Linked DNA regions of Arabidopsis thaliana. The protein of the gene in region 1 interacts with the protein of each later gene in a pairwise test. Each region holds a gene or a part of one and is shown on either strand. Other genes may lie near its edges. The genes, in order: AT5G23820, AT5G42220 and DSK2.

What was found.
Region 2: the proteins of AT5G23820 (region 1) and AT5G42220 interact in a two-hybrid assay, tested with the Arabidopsis thaliana proteins (one large-scale study listed by BioGRID).
Region 3: the proteins of AT5G23820 (region 1) and DSK2 interact in a two-hybrid assay, tested with the Arabidopsis thaliana proteins (one large-scale study listed by BioGRID).

Annotation. Positions count from the first base shown.
Region 1 is NC_003076.8:8,028,360-8,035,001, reverse strand, and holds AT5G23820 (MD-2-related lipid recognition domain-containing protein), read right to left. Parts: upstream 3,838-6,642; 5' UTR 3,617-3,837; coding exon 3,520-3,616; intron 3,267-3,519; coding exon 3,165-3,266; intron 3,072-3,164; coding exon 2,893-3,071; intron 2,310-2,892; coding exon 2,193-2,309; 3' UTR 1,853-2,192; downstream 1-1,852. Other genes in the region: AT5G23830 (MD-2-related lipid recognition domain-containing protein), read right to left, coding at 290-406, 543-724, 839-937, 1,104-1,200; AAP7 (amino acid permease 7), read right to left, coding at 4,272-4,679, 4,954-5,181, 5,304-5,437, 5,536-5,756, 5,861-5,954, 6,144-6,380, 6,460-6,541. UniProt on the Arabidopsis thaliana protein: May be involved in herbivory-mediated responses. May play a role in herbivory-associated molecular pattern (HAMP) recognition. May function is jasmonate (JA) signaling in response to HAMP.
Region 2 is NC_003076.8:16,868,873-16,879,057, forward strand, and holds AT5G42220 (Ubiquitin-like superfamily protein), read left to right. Parts: upstream 1-3,365; 5' UTR 3,366-3,622; intron 3,623-4,084; 5' UTR 4,085-4,089; coding exon 4,090-4,218; intron 4,219-4,312; coding exon 4,313-4,430; intron 4,431-4,734; coding exon 4,735-4,833; intron 4,834-4,925; coding exon 4,926-5,041; intron 5,042-5,135; coding exon 5,136-5,222; intron 5,223-5,397; coding exon 5,398-5,592; intron 5,593-5,679; coding exon 5,680-5,749; intron 5,750-5,821; coding exon 5,822-5,976; intron 5,977-6,107; coding exon 6,108-6,272; intron 6,273-6,349; coding exon 6,350-6,421; intron 6,422-6,492; coding exon 6,493-6,610; intron 6,611-6,687; coding exon 6,688-6,930; intron 6,931-7,003; coding exon 7,004-7,152; intron 7,153-7,235; coding exon 7,236-7,427; intron 7,428-7,548; coding exon 7,549-8,079; intron 8,080-8,303; coding exon 8,304-8,441; intron 8,442-8,520; coding exon 8,521-8,583; 3' UTR 8,584-8,605; exon of another isoform or gene 8,606-8,860; intron 8,861-9,229; and 2 more. Other genes in the region: AT5G42210 (Major facilitator superfamily protein), read left to right, coding at 28-108, 301-333, 504-557, 691-732, 985-1,063, 1,173-1,243, 1,628-1,696; AT5G42223 (Defensin-like (DEFL) family protein), read right to left, coding at 9,738-9,898, 9,980-10,073.
Region 3 is NC_003071.7:7,480,043-7,488,082, forward strand, and holds DSK2 (ubiquitin family protein), read right to left. Parts: upstream 5,199-8,040; 5' UTR 5,049-5,198; coding exon 4,820-5,048; intron 4,708-4,819; coding exon 3,943-4,707; intron 3,649-3,942; coding exon 3,416-3,648; intron 3,340-3,415; coding exon 3,226-3,339; intron 3,046-3,225; coding exon 2,993-3,045; intron 2,601-2,992; coding exon 2,572-2,600; intron 2,400-2,571; coding exon 2,316-2,399; intron 2,240-2,315; coding exon 2,091-2,239; 3' UTR 1,839-2,090; downstream 1-1,838. Other genes in the region: AT2G17190 (ubiquitin family protein), read right to left, coding at 1-713, 1,091-1,319; AT2G17210 (Tetratricopeptide repeat (TPR)-like superfamily protein), read right to left, coding at 5,356-7,566; Kin3 (Protein kinase superfamily protein), read right to left, coding at 7,824-8,040. UniProt on the Arabidopsis thaliana protein: Binds and presumably selects ubiquitin-conjugates for destruction. Prefers multiubiquitin chains rather than single ubiquitins, with a binding affinity for 'Lys-48'-linked ubiquitin chains.

The DNA.
Region 1 (6,642 bases):
GTCTCCTCATATTTCCGTTCTATTCTGCGTTTTATTATGCGTATCCGCTACTCGTAAAACATTTCCTCTGTAAAAAACTTTATTTTTGATCAATATCAACCAGAAAATTCAAGGAAAGGCATGTTGGTTCATATTAATCAGGCCAAAATTACAACAAAGCAATATCTATAGCGATATCGGTTCAAGGATTTGATTTATTTGTTGGACAACACATAAAAAAGGAAAAATGCAAGCGAGAAAGAGTCATATAATGAAAGAGTTGGAAACATCTTTTCATCAGCCAACGTGACTAAATAGAGACAAATGCAGAAGCTGAGGCAGGTACTTTGAAGTCGATACACATTTTTATTATTGGATCCTCCTCCTCTGCGGTTTTTTGACGCAAAGATACGGAATACTTGATTCCCTGCCAAGTTAAAAAGAAGAATTAATGAGAAACAAAGAACATCATGAACCCAAAAGCATTACTTGAGAAAACATTGGTCCTAGGACTTCTTAAGGAAACTTCAAATTCATATACAAAGAGTATTAAAAATAGTTACCTCATCAAAACCAACATAAAGAACGTCTTTAAGACTGAAGTCAAACACGTCGCCAGCTTCAATCTCAGAATCAATGTTACATGCCAAACTCACATCACATAGGTCGTAAGTTTTTAAAAGGCCTGTAAAATCCCCAGATCTATAGGCTACATATACAAGGGTTCCCGCGGATATTTCTTTCGCTGTATATACACACGAAGAATTTTATCAAAAAATATATTAGAAACTATATAAAGAAAATAAAAAGAGAGTTGAAATTTGGAAAAATCATCAAAAGATTCAAAACTATTACTTACTCGCAGTACCAAATACATTTATAGTGAGGGTTGGGTTTTCCTGAGGCCCAACCCGAAAGACCTCGATCCAAGAGACGACACCATAATCATGTCCATTTTCTGCAGGTAAAAAACACTTAGATCTATACATCTTTCTAAGAAAGAAAAAAATCCACTTATTTATTTGAATTCATATGTCAAACTAATTGGTTTTATAGGGGTTTTCTATAATTAAACACACGAAAAAAAATATAGAACATTGAAGACTTAACAAATCGATACTTACTGGTGCAATATTCAAAATCGTTGGCGCTGCACAAAGCCAGTAAGAAGAAGAGTGATGCGAGGAAGAAAAGCACAGGCTGGACATGAGACATCGCCATGGTTCTTCAAAGCTTCTTGGATATTTTTTTTTTTTGTTTGACTAACAAGTTTGGTACATCATGTTATGCTTTTATGCAAGCCTGCTATTTTATAATCTACATAATAAGTAGATGGGATCGTAAGTGCAAAAATTATATCCATATATTTTAATCTCCCACATAATAAGCGAGAATCTTAAAATATTAGTATGATCATCATCAATTTTTTATTACCTTACCTACCAATTTTTCTCATTCACAATCACGTGGATTTTATCTGGGAGAGACCGATCCGTCTAGAAGAACTGTATTATTATAAAATCTGCAGATTTGAAAAGAACGTAAAGTTAACATTTTAACGGCTAGCAAAGTCGGCCTATATATCTCAAGGAAATGTCTTGACTCTTGATGTTGTATCTTAGCAAGAAAAAGTGTTAGCGTAAGGGTGCATAACCAGTTATCTAATGTTTAGCACACCTTCAATTTCACTGTATTTGTGGACCGGTTCTTTATACCTTGCAGTGTATACTTTATGATAGTTTCGGAAGCAACAAAATGAGATATTTCTCTGTTCTCACCAAAAATGAAAAAAAAAACGGCTAAGTGAAATAACCATGCAGAATGATAGCATTCATTTTGTTTTAGTCACCTAGATTAATTGTTAATTTGTAGAGCTTTATGATTGGTAAAATCATATAAAATAGGATAATCATCCAACTTTGTTGTAATTATTTGAAAGTCTCCTCATATTTCTCTGTTCTCTCTGCTTTTATTATGCTCATGGGCTACTAGTAAAACATTTCCTATGTAAAAAACTTTATTTTTGATTAATATCAACCAGTAAATCGAAGAAAAGACATGCTCGATTGCTTGTTCATATCGCTATCGATATCGGTCCAAGATTTTAATTTATTTGTTGGACAACACAAAAAGGGAAAAGGAAAAGCAAAGTTGCGAGAGAGACTCATATAATCAAAAGAGACTTGGAAACATCTTTTCATCAGCCAACTTGACTAAATAGAGACAAATGCAGGAGCTGGGGCAGGTACTTTGAAGTCGACACACATTTTTATTATTGGATCCTCCTCCTCTAAGGTCTTTCGGCGCAAAGATACCGAGTACTTGATTTCCTGCCAAGTAATGTGAATCAAGTCAGACCGGTTTGATTATTTATATTTAATTTCACTAATAGTATAATATACATAAAATGTTTTTATATTTATCACTAAGATATACAACACATGATAAAATGGAAAAGAAGTAGAGTTAATGAGAAATATATAACATCATGAAACCAAAAACATTACTTTTGAAGTTAACTTTGTAAGCATGGAATTGTAGTTAAACTCAAAATAACAATATCAAAGTGAAATCTTAAATATCAACAGAATTATTATAGTATACCCTAAATAACTTATAAGAAATATAAAATAAAATTAAACGTGTTGAGAAAAAGGAAGTATAAAAAATTTCTAATAGAAGATGTGATGTTAAAGCATAAAGCCAAGTCTTGAAAAAATAAAAATAAAAATGAAAATGAAAAATAAATAAACCAATGTGAACCGGTTGTACTAGTTTTAGGGGTTTTGCCGGTCAATTACGGTTATTTAATTAGTCCAACCTTGGGTTTGAAACATTGGTCCTAGGATTAAGGAAAATTCACATTCATTCATGCTTTTTATTTTCCTATGCTAAGAGTAGAAATGTAGTTACCTCATCATAACCAACATAAAGAACGTCGGAAAGAGTTAACTCAAAGTTGGTGCCAGCTTCAATCTCAGCTTCATTGTTACATGCACTCACATCACAAAGGTTGTAAGTTTTTAAAAGGCCGGTAAATTCCCCATCTCTAAAGGCTACGTACACAAGGGTTCCCGCGGGGATGTTTTTGCCTATATATATAAAGGATTTTATCAAGAAAATATTCAAAACTAGAGAAAAAAAGAGAGAGTTGAAACTAGATCATAAAATTAATTGTTACTTACTTGCAGAACCGAATAAATTTATAGTGATGGTTGGGTTTTCGTGAGGCCCAACAGATGGAGAGACCACAATGCTAGTGACGGTTCCGTAATCGTTTCCATTTTCTGCAACAGTCGCATATATTAATTGTGGAAGCTATAACTTACGAGTCCCCGGTAGGTTAAAAAAAATTGGAATCCAATTCAAATGTCAAAGAGTTCAAATATTGGTTTACTAAAAGAAACAAAAAACAGAGCCATGAGCAAGCCAGAATCTATGAAATCAAGGTCTATCTGAATTTATAATTCATTTATAAACTAATAAACACACAAAAATCATATAGAAAAGTAACTGAAGACTTAACAAATAGATACTTACTGGCGCAGTATTCGAAATCTATGGCGCCACGCAAAGCCGGTAAGAAGAAGAGTGATACGAGGAGGAGTAGCATAGGCTGGACATGAGACATCGCCATGGATCTTCAAAGCTCTTTAAAAAGATTTTTTTTCTTCTTCAAGTTTGACTAAACAAGTTTGTAATACATGTTATGTTTCTATGCAAGTCTGCTATTTTATAATCTACAGAATAAGTAGATAGGATCATAACTAGCATATGATGCTCTGGACCAGGGCCTGCATAAATTATATATATCCATATATATTAAACCCCACGTTTTTGTACACGAGAAGGTTATAATATTAGTGTTTAATGTCAATTATTTACTACCTTACCTACCGCCTTTGTTCATTCACAATCACGTGGATTCATTTCGGAGAGACCGATCCGTCTCGAAGAACTATATTATTTATAAACACATTAAATTTGATTTTAAACTTTTTTTTTTTTGACAAAACCACATGTTCTATAACGACAACACGAATTGACTACCTTACCGAAAAAAAATAATTTTGGGGCCTTGATTGAATCTTTTCCAATAATTTTGGGGCCTTGATTGTTTATGGTAGTTTTAAAATATAAAACATGGTAGGAAATTCGTCTTTAGAGTTAATTCATTAAAAATCAAAATTTCATACTAAATACGAATTACATTTACATAAGTTGTAACGGATCTCACATTTATTTATCAATTAACTAGAGTAGGATCGCTACATCACATCGGCATTGGCTAATCATCCGAATTTAGCTCCAACAAGTCCATAAATAGATCCAACAAGAGACAAGAGACAGACGAGCAAGCACACAAAGCTGAAACCTCTAAGAAGAAGCCATGGTCGCGTCCAACTTCGGATTTTCTTCTGCAATATACACATCTCCACAGGAAAATACACTGCCAGAGGCCAAAATGCAAGTGCCCCCACCACTCCTAATACTTCATTGAAGTAGGGAAACATCACTGCCACTCCCGTTGTGATCAACACGTACATCGTTCTCAAACACATCCTCATTGGGTTCAATCTCACCGTCTCTCCTCGCAACAATGGCAGTTTGAATCCGTAGAATCTGGCGATAAACTTATTTTCCGGATATTTCTTGGTTAGCGATCTCTCCGCAGCCGCGAAAATTGGTTGACTGTATACCTAAAATGTCATTCTATATTTTAGAAATGTATGGAAGATTTTAGATCTCGATTGTTTGTTTGCTTTAGAACATGTTACATAACAACTTAAAACCTCTTTTGGTATTTTACACAATTTATTTTGTGAATCATAAACGCAAACGTTAAAATGACACATAGTAACCAAAAATATTTTGTCTAAAATACTAGAATGGTAGTTTGTTTTCTAAAATGTGAACGAAAACATAAAAATCAACGAGCATGTTGGTTAGATGGGCAAGGGGTTTCTGAGATACCTGATATCCACCAACTAAATGAAGAACAATGCAAGCGTTGGCGAAATCGACGAGCCAGAATGGCTCATAGAAGCCGAAACCGGTCAAGAGATTTCCCGGGGTGGAATCTCCAAAGGCCGCGTACCCAAAACATCCACAACAGAAGAAGAAGAATGTTTGGATGAATACCGCAACCGTCGAGGCTTTCTTCATCGTTTGCTTCTCTGCCGGTGGTGATCTCAATGTGTCCTGTCCTTAATTTTCATTTAACACACGTAAAAAAAAGGTTTCTTGATCTCTAAGAGTAGTGCTATTTAATGTGTTAATTAATCTTACTTGGCGTCATTATGCATGAAGGTAAAATTATTTACCTGAATCTCAAGAAGTATGATTGAGAAAGGATATGAAAAGGCAATGTTCCCAAGAGCTTGGAACACTATCCATACCTTTTCACCTCTGTTTTCTGCTGGTATTCCCCTTATACTTCCCTCAATTTTTCGATTCTCTTCATTTCAAAAACAAAGTTATTTGATTGTCTTCCCCCATCTCAAAATAATTTTATACTCAAAATCAAAATTGACAAAGAAAAAGTAATATCTATACCTATGATTTTGCCAAGGGCGAGGCCGATGCCAATGAACGAGTAAGTAAAAGACATAATAGCGGCGACAAGAGAGAGCCATACCATGTTGTGGAAATTAGGTATTTGTGACATAAATATCTGAGTCAAACCAAACAAAACCATGAAGTAGTTGTTGTTGTCTCCATATGAACATGTTGCATTGTGTCCATTTCTATGATAACAATTCGATTTCATAATTGCTCTGTAATGAAATGAAAAACAAAAAACTCTACGTATCAATATTGGAAAATAAAAAATTCCTAGGAAATAGAACAACAGTTGAAATATGTTTACATATGTTATTACCTACTGCATGTAGCTATAACAATGGTATAAGCAATGCCACAACCAAAAAGGGAAATGTATACAACGACTCCACATACAATTTCATTCTTCTTCCCTGCAAATCAAAATTACCCATATGAATAAATTTAAATTACAACTAAAATAAAAATTTAGTTTTCCGGACCAAATTAGTTTGTTATTTCTTATTGCATGTATTTAAACTCGTGATTTTGAAAACTTTTCCATTAGGTGGCAAGATAGTACGCTAGTTGAACTTATCGGAAATATTAGTTTTGAAGTTGACCTAAATACAATTTAACGGCTTGAGAGTAAGAATTGAGTCGGAGGGGACCGTTGTTAGGATCAGGGAAACGGTAGCAATCGGAAAGAAGAAAAGCAGAGAGAAGTGTGACCCCGGCGAAGGCTATAAGGGCGGCCGGACCAGCGATCCAGCCGAGCTCCGCCGTGGCCCAAGCCAACGACAACACTCCAGCTCCTATCACTCCTGTTATTATATGTGCCACCGCCGTCCATAACGTTCCTTTACAAGAAAACACAACGTAATAATTATTTGATTGATTACTAATGATTATGGATTATATGATTACTAACAGATTTACCTGTTCTTGCAGTAACTGAATCATGAAGTTGAAGCTCGGTTGGTGTTATAACTCGAGACTCGTCATCTTCTTTAATGTCCATTTTTTGTGTGGACGAAGATGAAGTTATTTGGTAATGTGTATGTTTGTTTCTATTTATGCGGGTACACGATGTGAATTCATTTTATCTTACCGAGGAATGAA
Region 2 (10,185 bases), 8.8 Mb from region 1:
AACTTACAAAGAAATGTTATTTCACAGTTGCTCTTTATGCCCGTTCTAGTTCCTGCTTTAAAAGAGGAGAGACTGCTCTCAATTGGTCTTTTCTTTGGTTGTGCCCATGTAAGAACCGTCTTTTAGTTTGTCTCGTACTTATTATGTTGTTCTCTAAACTTTGTATTTCGTATGGTTCTTTTCTTGCACCATAAAGACAACATCCTCCAATATAGTTTTAGGTGAACGAGCTTAATAATGAGCCCTTAAATTTGACTACACATGAACATTTTCTTATATGTTGCAATCTTAATTTTGCAGATGTTCCTACTATGTGTGGCATGGTCCTCATGGGTATTAATTATATCCTTTTAAGAAATTTTTCTTCATTTCCTTTTTTCTTTTTTTTTTTCATGTTGGATAGTTCATTTTCTTTGCAATATCTTTTGGCGTTAATAAGAATTGCCTCTTTAGTGAAGATTTGTGAGATCGATTATTGGCTAAAGATAATTTAAAACTCACAGGTTCCATATATGGCAGCCATATTTGCACTTTTCTCAATATTTCCTTCATCGTGTGTAAGTTTACATATTATATATATAGATTTTTTTTTTTTTTTGTCAACACATATTAGATATTTTTTATTCGAGTTTATACTTTAATTATATATTGAAATGTATTGTAATTCAACAATTCAAATTTAATTTACAGATGCGAAGCATTGTCTCCAAACAAGTAGCATCATATGAACAGGTAACTAAGTCTTGACTTATAACAAATTCCATTCATTTTATTATACCATAAATACTTCTTGTATAAAATGGACAGAAGAATAAATTATTTCAAAGAAAGAAAAAAGGAGTAGGATTAGTGGCTTACATGAGAAATAATGTTATTTTTACATGAAATCGAACGTTATTATTTAATTTGTGCGAGACTGGTTTTGACTTTTATCAATTTGGTTAATCGGTCAATGCAAACTCTAACTCTCGGTAATATTTTCAGGGGAAAGCCCAAGGAATTATTTCAAGCATATGTTCCCTTGCAAATGTCATTTCCCCGCTAGCATTTTCACCTCTAACAGGTTTCATCACTATTTACATAAGCATTGTTTAATAATGCTATTTCAAAAACTTCTGTAGATAGAAATGCAAATAACTTGCTACTAACACTAGTATTTTTATTTTTCTTAGATTGGTTTCTGTCTGAAAGAGCCCCATTTAATTTCCCAGGGTTCAGTATAATGTGTGCGGGATTTGCCATGGTAATATACTTTATGTTTTTGCATTTTCTACTGAAATTCACTCAAGTTAGCCTCCATGAAACTATACAAATAAATGTCCGGTTAAACCAAGAAAGGAACGTTATCCTTTTAATTAGTTTTTACTTTCTTAGTTTTCATACTCTTATCTAATTCACAACGAATGCTGTTGTTGGTTGTGCAAAAAGGAAACTTTAAATCTTATCTAATTTCCCATGAAAAATCACTAACTCATTCAGTTCTTTTTTTTTTGGTTTAACATTTAGTTATATGACAATGTATGTGAAACATATAAACCTTTTAATTGATTCCTCAAAGTTATATGAGTTGTTCGATTACTAAGAAAAATAATATATATAATGTCCGTTACTTTGTTTTTCTTTGTAGACTATAGCTTTCATCCAAAGCCTGATGATCAGAGCAGCAACACCAATATCAGTTATGGGATCTCCATAACACAGTTTCCTCAAAACCATATGGATTTCGTAGTGAAAGATAATATACAGGTTTTAATTGCATTGGTCGAATCCTTGATGTTTTTTTTTAACCCATATTGTGTACGGGTTTATGATATCTAAAGTCAGCAAGACACCAATAGCTTGTATAGGTTAGTCAATAACTCCTAGGGGAAACACCATATTTAATGGCCGTTTCAGTTAATTTAGATATCTTCTTTCTTTTTTTGAGTTCAAAGTTAGTTTAGTTGTCTAAAGCAACAAAATAGCTCCAATATTTGTATCATTAAATTTATTTATATACATCATAATTATTTTTGTATATATAGACATAATTGAAACATGTTTTATTATAATCTATATATACATTTTTGCAGCCATTTTGTGAAATAAATCCTTTAGTTGTGACTTATTTACAATGGCTGCCACTGGATTTTAATGTTTGTTTTTGATAATTAAAAAGAAAATATTCGAATTAAATATTTGACATTTAACAATCTTCCCAAAATATCTCCACATTAACTACACGATTATTTACTAAAATAATACTTCCAAAATATTTAATATCATTTAATTACTACAAAATTATCATTTTTGATATTGATTTTCTCCATAACTATAACAATTCGATTATAATCATCAAAGCGCAGAGATATAATCTGATAGCATTTAATTACTACAAAATTACAAAATATTTAGACAATGATTCATAAACATATCATAAATAAGATCAACATTAATAAAATAAATAGTTTTTTTTTTACAGGACGGGTTTGACAGGACGATACTTAATAACATTTGTAAACTATAAAATAAAATTATTTTATAGATAGATACAATTTGTAAACTTTTATATATACTAACTTTAAAAAATAAATTGTTCCCGCGGTATACCACAGGTTAAAATCTAGTTGTTTTTGTATTTTAACTAATAATGTGGACTAAACTTTAGGTGGAATACCTTTAGTTAACGGATCCGCTTTCATGAAATTTCTACCTATATGCTTAACTGAAACCACATCATCTTGAATCCTTTCTCACACAATATGACACTCTATGTCTATATGCTTTGATTGTTCTACTTTTGTTGTTGTTTGCATATACACTGCCGCAAAATTGTCAGACTAAACTTTAAATGATCTTTCGACACATAACCAACATGTAGTGTTTTTCACAGACTGTTCAAACCTAATGAATATAGTGTTTTCCCTAACCTAATGGCCGGTGTATTCTACAATTTTGAAAGATTTGCCTGAGTGACAATAAAAAAATCTCAAGCTTGTTTCTATCTCTAATCTCTTATACTGCAAATGTTAGAACGAATACTTTGGCACGAAAAATTCGTACTGAATCGCTTCATATATGTAAACAATTTTTTCTAAAGTTGACTCATTTGAACATTAATATAATTTGATGACAAAAAATAATAAAATAATAACCATTATTAACGACAACAATAACATAGATTCGTTTCAGTTATATGTAAACCATAATCTTCATGATTAATCCAGTTATGTGTAAACTTAAATACTTAAATATTAGAAATCAAAATTACATAATAAAACAGAAAAAGAAGCACATGTTTAAAATTTATTTTAGATATGGTTAAAAAGGCCAGGCCCAGCTTTATATTATTAATAGAAGAGTCCACATTTAGAGCGGAGACTAGGCCTATATTCGCGGAAGCGTCAATTCAGGTTTTCAAAACGTCGTCGTTGTATCTTCCTCCTCTAGATTCTTCTTTTTCTTTTCAATTTCACCAAAATCCCGAGTTCCCGACACAATCGCCCTTGTTCTTCCCCTTTAACTCTGAACACATCAGGTTTGGTTTCGTGTTTCAACTTTGAGATACTTCTCTAGATTTCAATCGGAGAGTCTTTTGTTCCGCCAAAGTTTCAATTTTTCAATACCCCACGACGGCAAATAGGTTCGTTCTTCGTTGCCTTCATGGAATTTGATTGTTTTTTTCTTAAATCTTGATCCTTTTTTTCCGTATCTATAGGCTCTGTTTTTGCCTTAGCAGATTTGTTTTTGGGTTTGGACGGTGAAAGTTTTGATTTTTGAACAGTGATATTACAATGACTTGCATTTATTTGGGTCTGGGTCTTTTGTTTGTGGCTTTGGATGGTGAAAGTTTTTGATTTTTAGCATTTTTATTACAATGACTTGCATATATATAGGATTTGGTCTTTTGTTACAATGACTAGCATTTAGTTATGTCATTTGTTTGTGTCTCATTGTTGATTCTGTTTTGTATGATCAATATCTGGAAATGTGTGTGGTAAAGGTTTTGATTTGAGTACCCTAGAGATAATATTGTTTATTATGAGATCATTCTTTTGTAAGATGAATTTACAAGCTTTATGTTTTTTAAATTTTAATACTTTAGGGTTCATGGAAGATCAACCCATTAACCAGTGCTCTAGTAGCACCAATGCGTCGGAGAAAACTCCAGAATCAACCCTTGAGCTTAACATCAAAACGTTAGACTCGCGGACGTATACTTTCCAAGTGAACAAGAATGTAAGAAATCTTCTTCTTCTTCTGCTTCACCTGCATATTTGCTTAAGTTTAGTTTGCTTATATCTGATACTGCTTAGGGCTTGACTTGTTGCAGGAAACTGTTTTGCTATTCAAGGAGAAGATTGCTAGTGAGACAGGGGTGCCGGTTGGTCAGCAGCGGCTCATTTTCCGAGGACGGGTTTTGAAAGATGATCATCCTCTCTCGGAGTATCGTATCCTAGTGCTAGCGACTTTGTTAACTTGTTGATTTTATGTTATAGTGTAGCTGTTTGTTGCATTATGCCATGTGCCCTGTGTATAAAATGCATGTTAACCAAATCTGTCGGAAGTCTAGTTTTTGATTGATCAAGTGCATCTCTGCTTTTGTGAGTCTTACACCGTAGAGGAAGCTGTAATCCAGAAAGAGAACTATATATATATATATACCTTCGATAAGCTTAGTTTTAGTTTATGTCTGTCGTTTCCTTCCATCGCTTTTCTACTTTCAGTATAGTTGATAACTTGACATCGTCATAGATTTGGAAAATGGGCATACTTTACACTTGATTGTGAGGCAGCCAGCAGAATCAGCTCCTTCCTCTGGTACACCTTCACAAGGGGCAACTGCAAATGATGGTAATCAAGTTATTTTTTATCCCCTTTCTGAGTTTTAAAAGAGCTGTTAACACAACCATCATCTTATTTCAACTTGTTATTTAATTCAACAGGAAATAATACAAATGGTGGACCATCTCGAAATGGAAGACATGTCTCCCACAGCGTAGTTCTTGGGTCTTTTAATGTTGGAGATCAGACAGAAGGCATTGTTCCAGACCTCAGCCGGGTAATCCCCAAGGATTTGTGATATTGTTTGGCCTATGGGATGGTTTGATTAGTTAGGCTAACCTGCTTTTAATTTTGTGTTGCTAACTACTAAGGTCATTGGAGCAGTTCTAAATTCTTTTGGAGTTAGTGGACAGCTTCCTACAAATCACAGTACTAATGGCACGCAATCCTCTATGCCCGTGAGTTTTTTTCTCGTCACTCTCTATTTCGAATTTATTCCATATTAGTGCTTAGTCTACATTAAGGATTGTTGAGAATCAGGTGTTGTTACTATTTGATGTGTAAGGTTTCATATTGTCATCAACTATTGCCTGTTTCTAAACTCGATGTTGCATGCGCTTTTATTTTTCCTAGTCGAATCAGTCGTCTAATGCACCTCCTGGAAATACATCTGATGGAGAGCCTGGCATTGGTGGTCAAAGCCAAGCTACGGGTCATTCACAACCTAGGCAAGCATTTCCTGGTGTATCATTTCAAACATCGATGCCTCGTGTAGTTCAGATTCCTGTTACAGCAGCCACAACGATTCCTATCCCTTCATTCTTAACGGTAGTTCTTAGTCACGTAGTAGTATTTTGATCTTGAGACTAGAGCTTTAATCTTGTCATTTTACAATGTAACTCTCTAATTCTGCAGCCTATTCCGGATTCCTTAGACACTCTAATGGAGTTCATTAATCGGATGGAGCAGGCATTATCACAAAATGGTATTGTGATCTAAGTTTTATTGTCATATTGGATAGAGAACACATAAATAAGTTAATTGGATGTTCCTCCAGGCTATCAGCCAGATACCTCTTCTGCTGGATCCGGAGGGCGACCAAGGGAAGAGTTGCCTAGAAATAGACGAGGTGCAGCAACACCTGAAGCACTCTCTGTTGTCCTAAGGAATGCACAACATTTACTGAGTGGTCTCGGTGTCTCTTCTTTATCGGTAAACACCTTCTTCACACTGCTTATTAATTGATTCCATTCTTTCTCTTTACAAGAACTGTTATGTATATGGTTACCATGCATTGTCATCTAATTATGTGCTGTTTGTAATTTGCAAAAACATTGTTGTAGCATATTGCGGGACGTCTGGAGCAAGATGGTTCATCTTCAGATCCTACTCTAAGGTCACAAATCCAGACAGAGGCCGTGCAAGTAGGTCTTGCCATGCAACATTTAGGGGCCCTCCTACTGGAGCTTGGACGCACAATTTTGACATTGAGAATGGCACCGTCGCCGGTGCGTTTTGGGTCATTCCTTTCGTGCATTTTCCTATTCATTCTTGACATGCGGCTCATTAACACTTTGATCTACAGGAATTATCCTATGTGAATGCAGGGCCTGCTGTGTATATATCTCCATCAGGACCGAATCCTATTATGGTTCAGGTAAGCTTCTAGTCTCATCTTTTTTCTAAATTAATTTTCTACTTTTATGTAATTATTACTGTATTTTGCAGCCTTTTCCTCACCAAATCAGCCCTCTCTTTACTGGTGCTACTGTCTCATCAAATCCACTAACCGGACCTGTTGGTTTAGGAACTGCCCAAAGGCACATTAATATTCACATACATGCTGGTGGGTGAAGTTCACTTTTTTGCTATTGGACTTAGCTGCACAATTCTTCTCCATTAAAATTCATACTTAATTACCAGGCACATCAGGTTCACCTATGTTGTCATCAGTTGGGAACCAGCGAAGCAATGGAGAAGGAGGACAAGGAGACCGTGACAGCAATACAAGTTCAGTTCCTGCGGCTGTTCCATCACACTCTACCGGTGAGAACGTTTCTGCTGGGGTTCAACCTGGTTTGGGTGATGATGTTTCAGTTGCTCAAATCAATGCAAGGATAAGAGATATGGTAAACATTATGCAAGGAAGAGACCAGATTCCATCGGGTAGGTTTCCTGCTGACTAAAGTTTTACATTGTGGACGAAATGTTTTCAAGCTCTTCTTCACGTGTCAATCAGGAATAGAATCTCTCGAGAGGGATATGTCTACGGGCCATGGTGTTGCCACTGCTATGCCTGAGCAGCCTACCAACATTGCAACTACTTGCGCACCTGAGTCGTCTAGTGGCTCACTGCATGACTTACCATCTGAGAGGAGCAACTCAGTGGTATGTCTTCTCTGCAATCAGATGATTCTTTATTTTATGTTCACCAGGGTTAGCCTACCACTAATTTTTGTTTTTTCAACCAGTGTCAAAATGAAAAAGATCTTGGTGGAGATTTAGAGCATCCAGCCCGAGCAAAAGATACCTCTTGTACTACAGGACAATCATCAGCTCCGTCTGGAGATGCTACCGGTGATGCCAAAGAAACCAATAAGGCTACTCCAGAGGTAGCTACAGCTACACCACTTGGATTGGGGCTTGGCGGTTTAGACCGTAAGGTAATGAATCAGTTGAAAAATAAGCGTCAAGTTGCTGCTGCTTGTTTTTCATTGCATAGCATATCCACAAGTGTCATAGTTCCAAATGCTTACAGTCATAGTATGTTTTTTTTGGTTAAAGAAACGAAGCAAGCAGCCGAAGGTATCAGGTAAGACTGAAGATAGCGGGACTTCAGCTACACTTGAAGGTGTGCAACAAAGCAGTGGGACCAGTGGTCAGCAGCTTTTGCAATCTCTCTTTTCTGGTAGTTCTCGTTCAGATGAGACTGGTCTTAGACGCGGGCAAGGTTCAGATGATCGTGTAGATGTCTCAAGTGCAATGTCTCAGGTCCTGGAGAGCCCTGTATTGGATGGATTGCTAGCAGGGGTATCTCGACAAGCTGGTGTTGATTCACCAAATATGCTGAGAAATATGCTCCAGCAGTTTACCCAGAATCCACAGATCATGAACACAGTCCAACAGATTGCGCAACAGGTGGATGGGCAAGAGATAGAAAATATGATGTCAGGTGGAGCTCAAGGCGAGGGCGGCGGCTTTGATTTCTCTAGAATGGTCCAACAAATGATGCCTCTAGTCTCACGTGCTTTTAGCCAAGGAGGGCCATTGCCTCATCCCGCAACAATACAGCCTGATGATCGTCAACCTTCTCAGGTACATCTACGAGTGTTAGGTTTGGATTTCTTGCGTTTTTGATTTAGGAAAAAAATGTGGCTGAAGAAAAACTGATACTATTATCGACTGAGTAGGATTTTGTTGTTGTCTTTTTTTAGTTGTAGAAAAAGTAACACCATTCTTACCTAGGTATTACAATAAACGTCATTGTCTCTTGTTCTATCTCGTGTAATGAATGTTATTTTTCTACTTTTTCCAAATAGGTAAATGTTCAATCCATGGCTCAAATGATTGAGCACTCTGATCCACCAGAGGATGTCTTCCGTGCAATGGTCGAAAATGCTGCGATAAGCCAAGACGAACTAGTGAACGAGCTTTGCTGTGATGAAGCTCTTTCTCAAGTAAGCATCAAAACTGACTAGTTTGTTTGTTTAATAAAAATAAAGACTCCTTGATCAGACTTGTATTTGAGTGTTGCAGGAATATGCGGAGTTGCTAAGACGTGATATCGAAGGCCGGCTAAAAGATGATCAAGGTCTATAAGATATTTGGTTGAATTGGTTCTGTAAGTGTCATATCTTTGAAGTATCTTTGTTTATTTGCTGAGATCCCTCACTTATGTATTAAGAATTAGGGTTTGGGATGGTCTATACTCTGCTAAACATAAGCAAACGTAATTTATCTGGTCTCTAAAGGGCCGATTCAATTTGATATTTCCATCTTTAACCAGAGATTACTCATAACTCTCGACATTGACCAAATTACTTGGGAAAAAGGTGTCCCTTTATAACTGACAATTTTGGTTTTGATCGAAAATTTGGCTAAAGGGCTACACTAACGAGTGACTGTAGCAAATTATATATTTAGTTTAATTCCTTAACAAATAGGTAATAAAGATTGCACAATAAATATGGAATGTAAACTAATAAATAGTAGAATAATTCAGAAAAATGAACTGTCACGACAACCCCAATAATAAGATGTTATATATTATTTAATTTTTATAAAAAATTATATATTATAAAATTTACTATGAATTTTTAATATGTTTAAAATTACAAAGTTGTTGTGTTTGTTTTGTTGTACAAATTTATAATTTTGGATTATGACAAATTAATAATATTGTTTTATTTTATATTTAATTTCTAAAAGATTATTAAAATTTGTTTTATGGTTTTACGTATTCAAGGGTTGTGAACAATTGATCACCACCGGAAAAATTAAGGATGACGACAAAATTGAACTAAAACATCATGGGTTCAGAGATTTTCAAGATCAGCGAGCCATGACTTAGCGACATCGGAGATCATGAACATTCCTAAGACAAGCTGTCTTTTGTGATGAGTTTTGCAAATAATTGTTTCATCGCTAATTTTTCTTACTTATGACTTTTCTAGAGTGAAAAAGACTAAATTTTTAATTATTATTAGGACCCAAGTTCGAGATTTTCTAAAATAAATCTCAAATGGTTCACCAAGATATTGCAACGTTTGTATTTCATCCAAATTGAGCGAAAAATGAATAAATGTTGCAATTCCTTCATTTGAAAAGATGCAAAAGAGAAACATCGATTGTGTCAAATCAAACCAACTTCAATTATGGTATGCTTTGTGCATTTCACTCTCGATCTTTTGAATATTCAAAGTCGTATGAAAACTAGTTATGTTGCTTTTAGTAAATATCAACATTTTATTAGATTATTTTGTCACACAACAACAATGCTTTTGATGATCAGGCTTCATAGTACATTCCCCATATAAGTAATAGGCTATTCTTACACAAAAGAACAAGCATCCTTCGTAACCATTTTTACACGGTTCTGGGCCGTAGCATTTATCTTCTTGCTTTATTTCAAAACCTATATTATAGTAATAATCAAGAGATCAATATATATATAAACTCATAAGAAAAAAGTGGTTGATTCATAATAAGATAGTACCAGAAGTGTTATCTAATTCCGAGCAATAAACGAAAGGCATGACAAAGAGGAGGATGAGTACAAATGCGGCAAAACATTTCTTGGTGATAGCCATGTCTAATATAGTCTCTTAAATTTTCTTACGACTGATTCTAGCACTTACGATGATTATATATATAATAACACAAACATACATTCAAAGGTTCTTTTTGGTGAAAGAGGAAAAG
Region 3 (8,040 bases), on another chromosome or scaffold:
TGCATTAGGTGTACCCGTTTCAGCATTCGGTGCCGAAATATTATTAGAAGTATCGCTTCCTTGTGTAGTAACCCCCTGGTTTCCCAGAAGAGCAGCAAATGGATTAGAGCTCGTATTGTTTCCAGCATTCTCGGACATAGTGGTAGCATTCATTAACGGTTCCTGGACATTTTCATACATACGCCTAAGCATGTTAAATCCCTCAGGCATAGACTCAATATTACTCATAGCCCTATCAGTATTTCTCATCATTTCACGCATAAGCTCTGGGTTTCTCGCCGCTTCTAGAGTTTGACGAAGGATGCTTGGGTCATTGAGCACATGACCAAGCTCAGGATTGCGATCTACAAGCTCACGCATTTGAGGGTTATTCATAATCATACTCCTCATAAATTCTGGGTTGTTCATAAGATTCTGGATGGCTGGAGTATTCATCATCTCTCTAATCATGTTAGGGTTCTGAGCTAGTTGTTGCTGTGCCTGCTCAAGATCAGGAAGACCAGATCCAAATAATCCAGCCATAGCATTTCCACCACCCAAAGGATTAAATCCAAGGCCAGGGAACAAAGATTCACCTCCTCCGAGGTTTGAGCTATCATTTGAACCAACCGCTTGAGGAGCAGTGGTTTGGTTTCCAGCATTTGCAGCGGGAGCAGAAGGAGAAGAAGGCACAAAACCTCGAACCATATGAACGGTGTGATCAGCCTGCAAACCTATATATAAAATGGTCCACAGAGAAAGGAAACATTGAGGCTCATGATGCAAAACAATAAAACGTGGAAACTATCCAACACAATCATATCAACAACAGCCATTGATGGAGAAAATATACATCCCAAGAAGATACATGATCATGAGAACATTAGGAACTCTAAGAATGGTATGAATCAATTATCGTATCACTAACTACATCTCCTTATTCTTCCCATAGAAGGATTAAGCATACATCAAAACTCATAAAATCATCCATGCTTCTGTAAAAACCTAACATAAATCCAATGTTCCAACCCCCTAGAAACCCTATGAGATTTTCAGTCAAATTAAAGCAACGGAACAACAGAAATGAAACACGAAATGATCAGAAAATTACCATAGCTGAGGAGAGTCTGATCGTCTTTGAGGATACGTCCCTTGTAAATCAAACGCTGCTGATTTGCCGGCACATCGCTGTTCTGCGCAATTAACTCTTTGAAAGACTCCACCGTGGAATCGAGGCTCGTCGTCACACTAAATTTCGTGCCATTGGAGCATCTGACGTTCACGGCAACAGCTACGCCTTCAGCAGTCAGCGGCTGCCTCGAATCTGCTTCACCACCCATTCTAATTTCAGATCCTAGTTCAACAAATCGCGAAATTGATCGGAGAATCAAAAGCTCTAAACCTAGAAGAAAAAATCGTAGAAGAAGATTTGAGGAGACTCGAAGCTCTAATAAGTCGGTTCTGAAGATTTCTTGAGGAAAGGGATATAAATTATTTTTGGTCGAATAACAAATGAGACTGCAGAAAATTAAAGAGTTATTTGGCCCCGAACGGCCAATTAAATGAGAATCCAGAAATGACTTGCGCTTCAGAGAACGTATCGACGACTCTTACTGGGTAAGATTGGGCCGGGTCGGGTCTAAATTGAGGCATTTGGTATATAGTTCAGGAAGGAATTGGCTGTAACTTGAATCTAATTGAAGATGATGAATCAACTAATTGGATATTCCTTTGCAACATGCCACTTCTCTCTTTGGGCAATTTGGTTTAACCTTTGAACCGGATCAGAAGGAACCAAAAATTTAATGGGTTCAATTTCACTTTGATGTCTATAAACATTTACAGATGTTGTATGTTGTAACAACTTGAAATAAGTTATCAAAGATAAACACCCAAGATATATAGGTTTAAGGGTAGTTAAAGACGAAGAGTGACCACTGATAACAAATACCGTATTGATGCGGCTTTTCTATCAACAAAGTTCACGATCCTATCATATATAAATTTTTATGAATTCGATGAATATATCATTACTGAAAAACACACATTCAAGCTGTTTATTCTATAACTGAGAAGCCAGATGGAGAGACATCAGTTCATGAACCTGTATGCTACTGTCCGATACTCCCCAAGAGTCGTTCTACAGCAGCGTTAACGTTACCATTGGTTGCAAGCAACGCCCTAATGTTCTCTGCTCTGTCATAGAATCCCATTTCCTGCAACTGTTGCAATTGAGTAGCGTACCGCTCTTCAGGAGGAACTGGAATCAAACAGACAAGTTTCAGTGGAACCATCACAACAGATGCGTAAGCTAAAAAAAATTTGTAGTCTCTAACCATTGGATTGGTTCGTGCCACTCAGGCCGCCAGCACCAAGACTGCCAAACATATTCATCAATAAATCCAGCCCCCCGTTATTTCCTGTCCCCATCAGTATTGTCATTCTACTATTAACTTGTATACGATACAATATCTGCTAAAATAAAACATACATGAAAGCAAAGAGAACTAAAGAGTAGCTGCTATACTACGTAACATAACTAAACCCTTTATACTACTGTAGAATAAATACATATAATATCTTTAAGAGTACCTGTGGCAGCACCAGTTTGCCCCGCATCCCTACAGAGAAGATAGATTTGGGAACATGAATGCGGATTGATGAAAATCAAAATATGGAGATTAACACACATAGCTTATGCTAAAAGGCATAATCAAAAACAAACAAAATGTTATGAGCCCTATTCAAGTGTATTCCAACGATTAAAATGCTTTATTTATAGCCTCTTTGATAGATGTTACTAGTGATCAGCCCAGTAAATCATACAAGAGTTGCTGCATTAGTCATGGTTCAATCCTTTTCTTATTATAGAGATCGTTCACAACCAATCTTTTTAGCTAGTTACAACATTGTCTAAACACTAAACAACCCAAAAAACAATATGTAAAGGACATGTAAATGCTCAACTTTGTTTAAGCAAATCCAAACAACGAAGGGTTTTAACAAAACTTACTGGCTGGCTGTATTTCTATTCTGAGATAGTGATTGCTGTAGAGTCATCATTTGCTGAAGACCAAAAAACAATAGAAAACATTAGGTTTAAGAAACTTCTTTACTTTGTCCCAAAAAAAAAAAAGAAAAGAAACTTCTTTACTTGAAAATAGCTTAGATACAAAGAAATGTTTCTTTTGAGAGACTACCATGTTAAAAATTCATATGCATACAGACAATAGGGGACAAACTAACCTGCATCATCTCCGGAGAACTAAACTGACGAAGGAAATCTGGGTTCTGCATCATTTCCCTCAACTGAGGATTCGAATCTAGCATGCTTCGGAGTTGTGGGTTAAGACTCATAAGCTGGAATCAAGGGAAAACAATTAATATATGTTCACAATGGTAAAAGGCTCTTAAGTTCAGATCATTCTAGGCCTACCTGATTCATGTATTGTGGATTGGAAAATACGCTTTGCATCATCTGCGATATGGCTGGGTTTTGCAATAACTGGCTCAATTGAGAAGCATCTGGAGTCGCACCAAGAGGTGAATCCGCTCCAAGCATACCGAGTCCACCAAGGCCTCCAAGGCTTCCAAGACCACCAAGGCCACCAAGTCCAGGGCTCCTCGCATCCCCACCAACATTTGTCCTTCCAGGGGCAGTTGTCTGACCTGTCAAGTAGCCCACAATATGTTCAATTATATTTAGTGTATTATGAGTAAATGTTAAATTAGAAACAATAAGCCAAGAAAATCATATGCAAAAACTACACATAACAACAAATTGTGGTAACTACACTAACTCACCAATTTACTATACACAATATTGTTCCTGAAGCAGAGCAGTGAACAGTAACGTCCATTTCTTATAAACAAGCCACTTTTTCATTTATAAAATATTACTGCATCCTTCAAAAGACAAATAAAATCGACAGGAGATTAGAAGATGAAAATGCAGTTACTTACCACCTGTAGCACCCCAAGGATTAGGAAGTGGATTTGCATTCGGAATAGTCCCCGTTCCAGCATTTGGTGTCGAAGAATTATTAGAAGCATCACTTCCTTGCGTAGTGACCCCCTGGTTTCCCAACAGAGCAGCAAATGGATTGGAGCCTGTATTGTTTCCAGCATTCCCGGACATAGTGGTAGCATTCATTAACGGTTCCTGGACATTTTCATACATACGCCTAAGCATGTTAAATCCCTCAGGCATAGACTCAATATTACTCATAGCCCTATCAGTATTCCGCATCATTTCACGCATAAGCTCTGGGTTTCTTGCCGCTTCTAGAGTTTGACGAAGGATGCTTGGGTCATTGAGCACATGACCAAGCTCAGGATTGCGATCTACAAGCTCACGCATTTGAGGGTTATTCATAATCATACTCCTCATAAACTCTGGGTTGTTCATAAGGTTCTGGATGGCTGGAGTATTCATCATATCTCTAATCATGTTAGGGTTTTGAGCTAGTTGTTGCTGTGTCTGCACAAGATCCGGAAGACCAGCTCCAAATAACCCAGACATAGCATTTCCACCACCCAGAGGATTAAATCCAAGCCCAGGGAACAAAGATTCCCCAGGACTCGCTCCTCCTAGATTCGAGCTATTATCTGAACCAACCCCTCGAGTAACACTAGGTGCAGTGGTTTGGCTTGCGGCCGGAGCAGGAGGTGGTGCTGAAGAAGGTGCAGAGCCTCTAACCATATGAATGGTGTGATCAGCCTGCAAACCTAGGTATAACATGTTCCACAGAGAATAGAATCCACAAGAATTTCAATCAATAAGGATCTACGAGAACAACAAAAGTACCCACACGAATAAATCAGAAACGATGAAGATTACCATAGCTGAGGAGAGTTTGATCGTCCTTGAGGATACGACCCTTGTAAATCAAGCGCTGCTGATTAGCTGGAACATCGCTGCTCTGAGCCACCAACTCTTTGAAAGACTCCACCGTTGAATCGAGACTCGTCTTCACACTAAATTTCGTGCCATTAGAGCACCTGATGTTCACAGCCACAGCTTCTCCTTCACCACTCTGCGGCTGACTTGAATCTCCCTCTCCACCCATTTCTAATTTCGGATCCTAATACTTAAAATAATCGCAGAGCTCGCGAAATCGATCAGGAGCCCTAACCCTAGAAAAATTCGATAGAGATTTAGAAGACTCAAAAGCTCTGAGTCGGTTCGGTAGATTGCTTGACGAAATGGATCGAAGAGAACAAAACAAGAAGACTTCTGCTTCAGAGAACGGATCGAAGGGACCGGGTCGGGTCAAAAACAAAACCCGGTTCGTTCCTTTTCTCACCCGGATCCGAGAATACATACGGCATCGTATAATAATATCATTTATCTGCTTCGTTGAGGCCCAAAGGGCTTTAGTTTATCGGTCCTGCAGTATCGTCTAACTTCATGCATCTATGAAGACTCTGAACGACATCATTTAATTCAGAATCACTCTGGCTTAACTTGTCTCCAGCCAAAAACCTCTTTGCCAAGTTTCCTTCACGAACCATGCTATAACCCGCAACGACCCGAACCTTTCTCTCCTTCACCAACCTCCTCATCATTGCTACATCTTCCCATGATTTTTCTGCAGCAAATGTGCTTGACGCAAGCAAGTAACCTGAAGAACACAAGGGCTCGAGTTCAAGAACCTCAGCTACTACCTCTGAGGTAATGATCAATTTTTTAAAACGGTTTCTGCAACCGCTAAGAATCGCTCCCCAAGCACTAGCCCCTGCTTTAACATCTTCTGGAAGATTCTTGATAAGTTCCACAGCCGTATCAATCTCTCCAGCTCGGCTAAGCATGTCTACAATGCAAGAGTAATGTTGCAATGAAGGTTTGTGATCTTCTTCTACCATTGATTTGAAGATCATGAGACCTTTCTTTACCAATCCTCCATGATTACAAGCTGATAAAGCTGCCAGATATGTCACAGCGTTTGGTGTGTAACCTTTTTGTTTCATTTCATCGAACAATGCTAATGCTTTATCCGGTAGACCATTAATAGCATATGCTGAAATGATCACGGTCCAAGAGATGATGTTTTTCTCAGTGATTTGATCGAAAGTCCTTCTCGCCATTTCTATGGCACCACATTTTGCGTATGCGTCAACAATAGAGGTACCAACTGAGATGTCATTGATGGCTAAGCTTCTCCGGATAGCAATCCCATGTGCCCATTTGGAAGTTCTCAAGTCCGCTGAAACTGAGCATGCGTTAAGAAGACTTATGACGGTGATAGCATTGGGCGTATCCCTCATGTGACAGAAGATTGAGATTGCTTCATCGGATCGGCCAGCATGGGCTAATCCAGAGATCATTGTGCTACATGACACCACATCCTTGTACGTCATCGAATCAAGCACGGTTCCTGCATCATCAACAAGACTGCAGCTTGTATACGCATCAATCAAAGAACTCAAAGCCACTTCGTTTGACTCATATCCACGCCGAATTATTACACCATGTATTGACTTGCAAGGCAATGGCTGCTCAAAAAACTTGCAAACCCGGAGAAGACTCACGACTGTAACTTCATCCACTTCGACCGCCTCTTGCACCATCAAATGAAACATCTCAAGAGCCTCATCGTACCTTTGATTATGTACAAACCCAGCCAAAATCGAATTCCATGAAACAATGTTTCGACAAGTGGTCTCATCAAATACTCTAAATGCTGAATCAACATCAAATCCTTTTGAATACATATCAATAAGTGAATTGCAAACAAACACATCTGCCAAATCAAAACCTCTCCGTATCGAAAACCCATGAACTGATCTTCCAACATCAATGTCCTCCATCACCGTGCAAGCCTTGAGAACACTTGTCACAGTCACACAATCAGGCTCTGTTTTCGCCTCATGAACCATCTCTTTAAACAACTTCAATCCAACAACAGGTTCCTTGCTCTGCACATAACTTCGGATTACAACACTCCAAGAAATAACATCTCTTTCAGACATTTCATCGAACAGTTTACGTGCACTTAAAGAATCACTATCTGCGTACATACACAAGATCGAATTTTGAACAGACGAAATCCCACAAAACCCACTACGGATCACATAGCCATGAATCTTCTCTCCATCGAACCATAAACTACGACACGCATGAATCACAAGAACCAATGTTGAAGTATTAGGCTCAAAACCCCAAACTCTCAACTTCGAAAACCACCATAACCCTTCTTCTTCAAAACCATAATCGAGAAGCCCAAAAACGATAACATTCCAAGACACCGAATCTCTCGAATTCATACAATCAAATTCTCGTAACCCAGAACACAAGTCTCCACATTTCATATAGAAATCAGCAATTGAGTTCCCTACAGAAACAAAAGACTCAAAACCTCTCTTTAACAGACTTGCTTGAATACATCTACCTTGAAACAGCCATGAGAGCTTAGCACAAGCTTTAAAAACAATGGGGAAAACGAAAGGATCGTTAAATTGAACTCCAGCTCTCTGTATCTCTGAATACCCAGAGACCACTTCCCGCCATTTTCCACTAACAGAAGCTTGCTTAATCTTCGAAGACAAAGCTTGTAGCTTTGAACACAAGTGTGATCCCATTACCATACTTCAAACCACAACTAAAGTTTGAAGCTTTAACAACAAAATTGTGTGAACAATGGCTTATATATTGATGACCATTAGTTAAACCTTTTCATAATCTGGTTTAACCGTTTAAGTAGTTATATTACACACACCAAACACTACATACTAATACAGGTACAACATTTGTTTTCTCTTTCATGTAGTATACATACGAATGGGTTTTGATAATCTTAACAAATACAAAACTAAGAAAAGAATCTCAGTGTCTTCAAACAACACTAGTGAGCTCGAGACACGTTTTGTCTAGGACGAAACGAAGAGAGTTGTTGCGGGCGATAATGGCCTTGTTGTTGACGGATGGATGGGGAAGCTCTAGTGGTCCTTCGTTCTAACGGTTTCTCATTGGCAGCTTCGATGAGTTCGAGCGATTCCACCACTTCTTTCATCGATGGACGGTTTTTGGGTTCGGGTCCAAGGCATTTCAGAGCCAGTTGA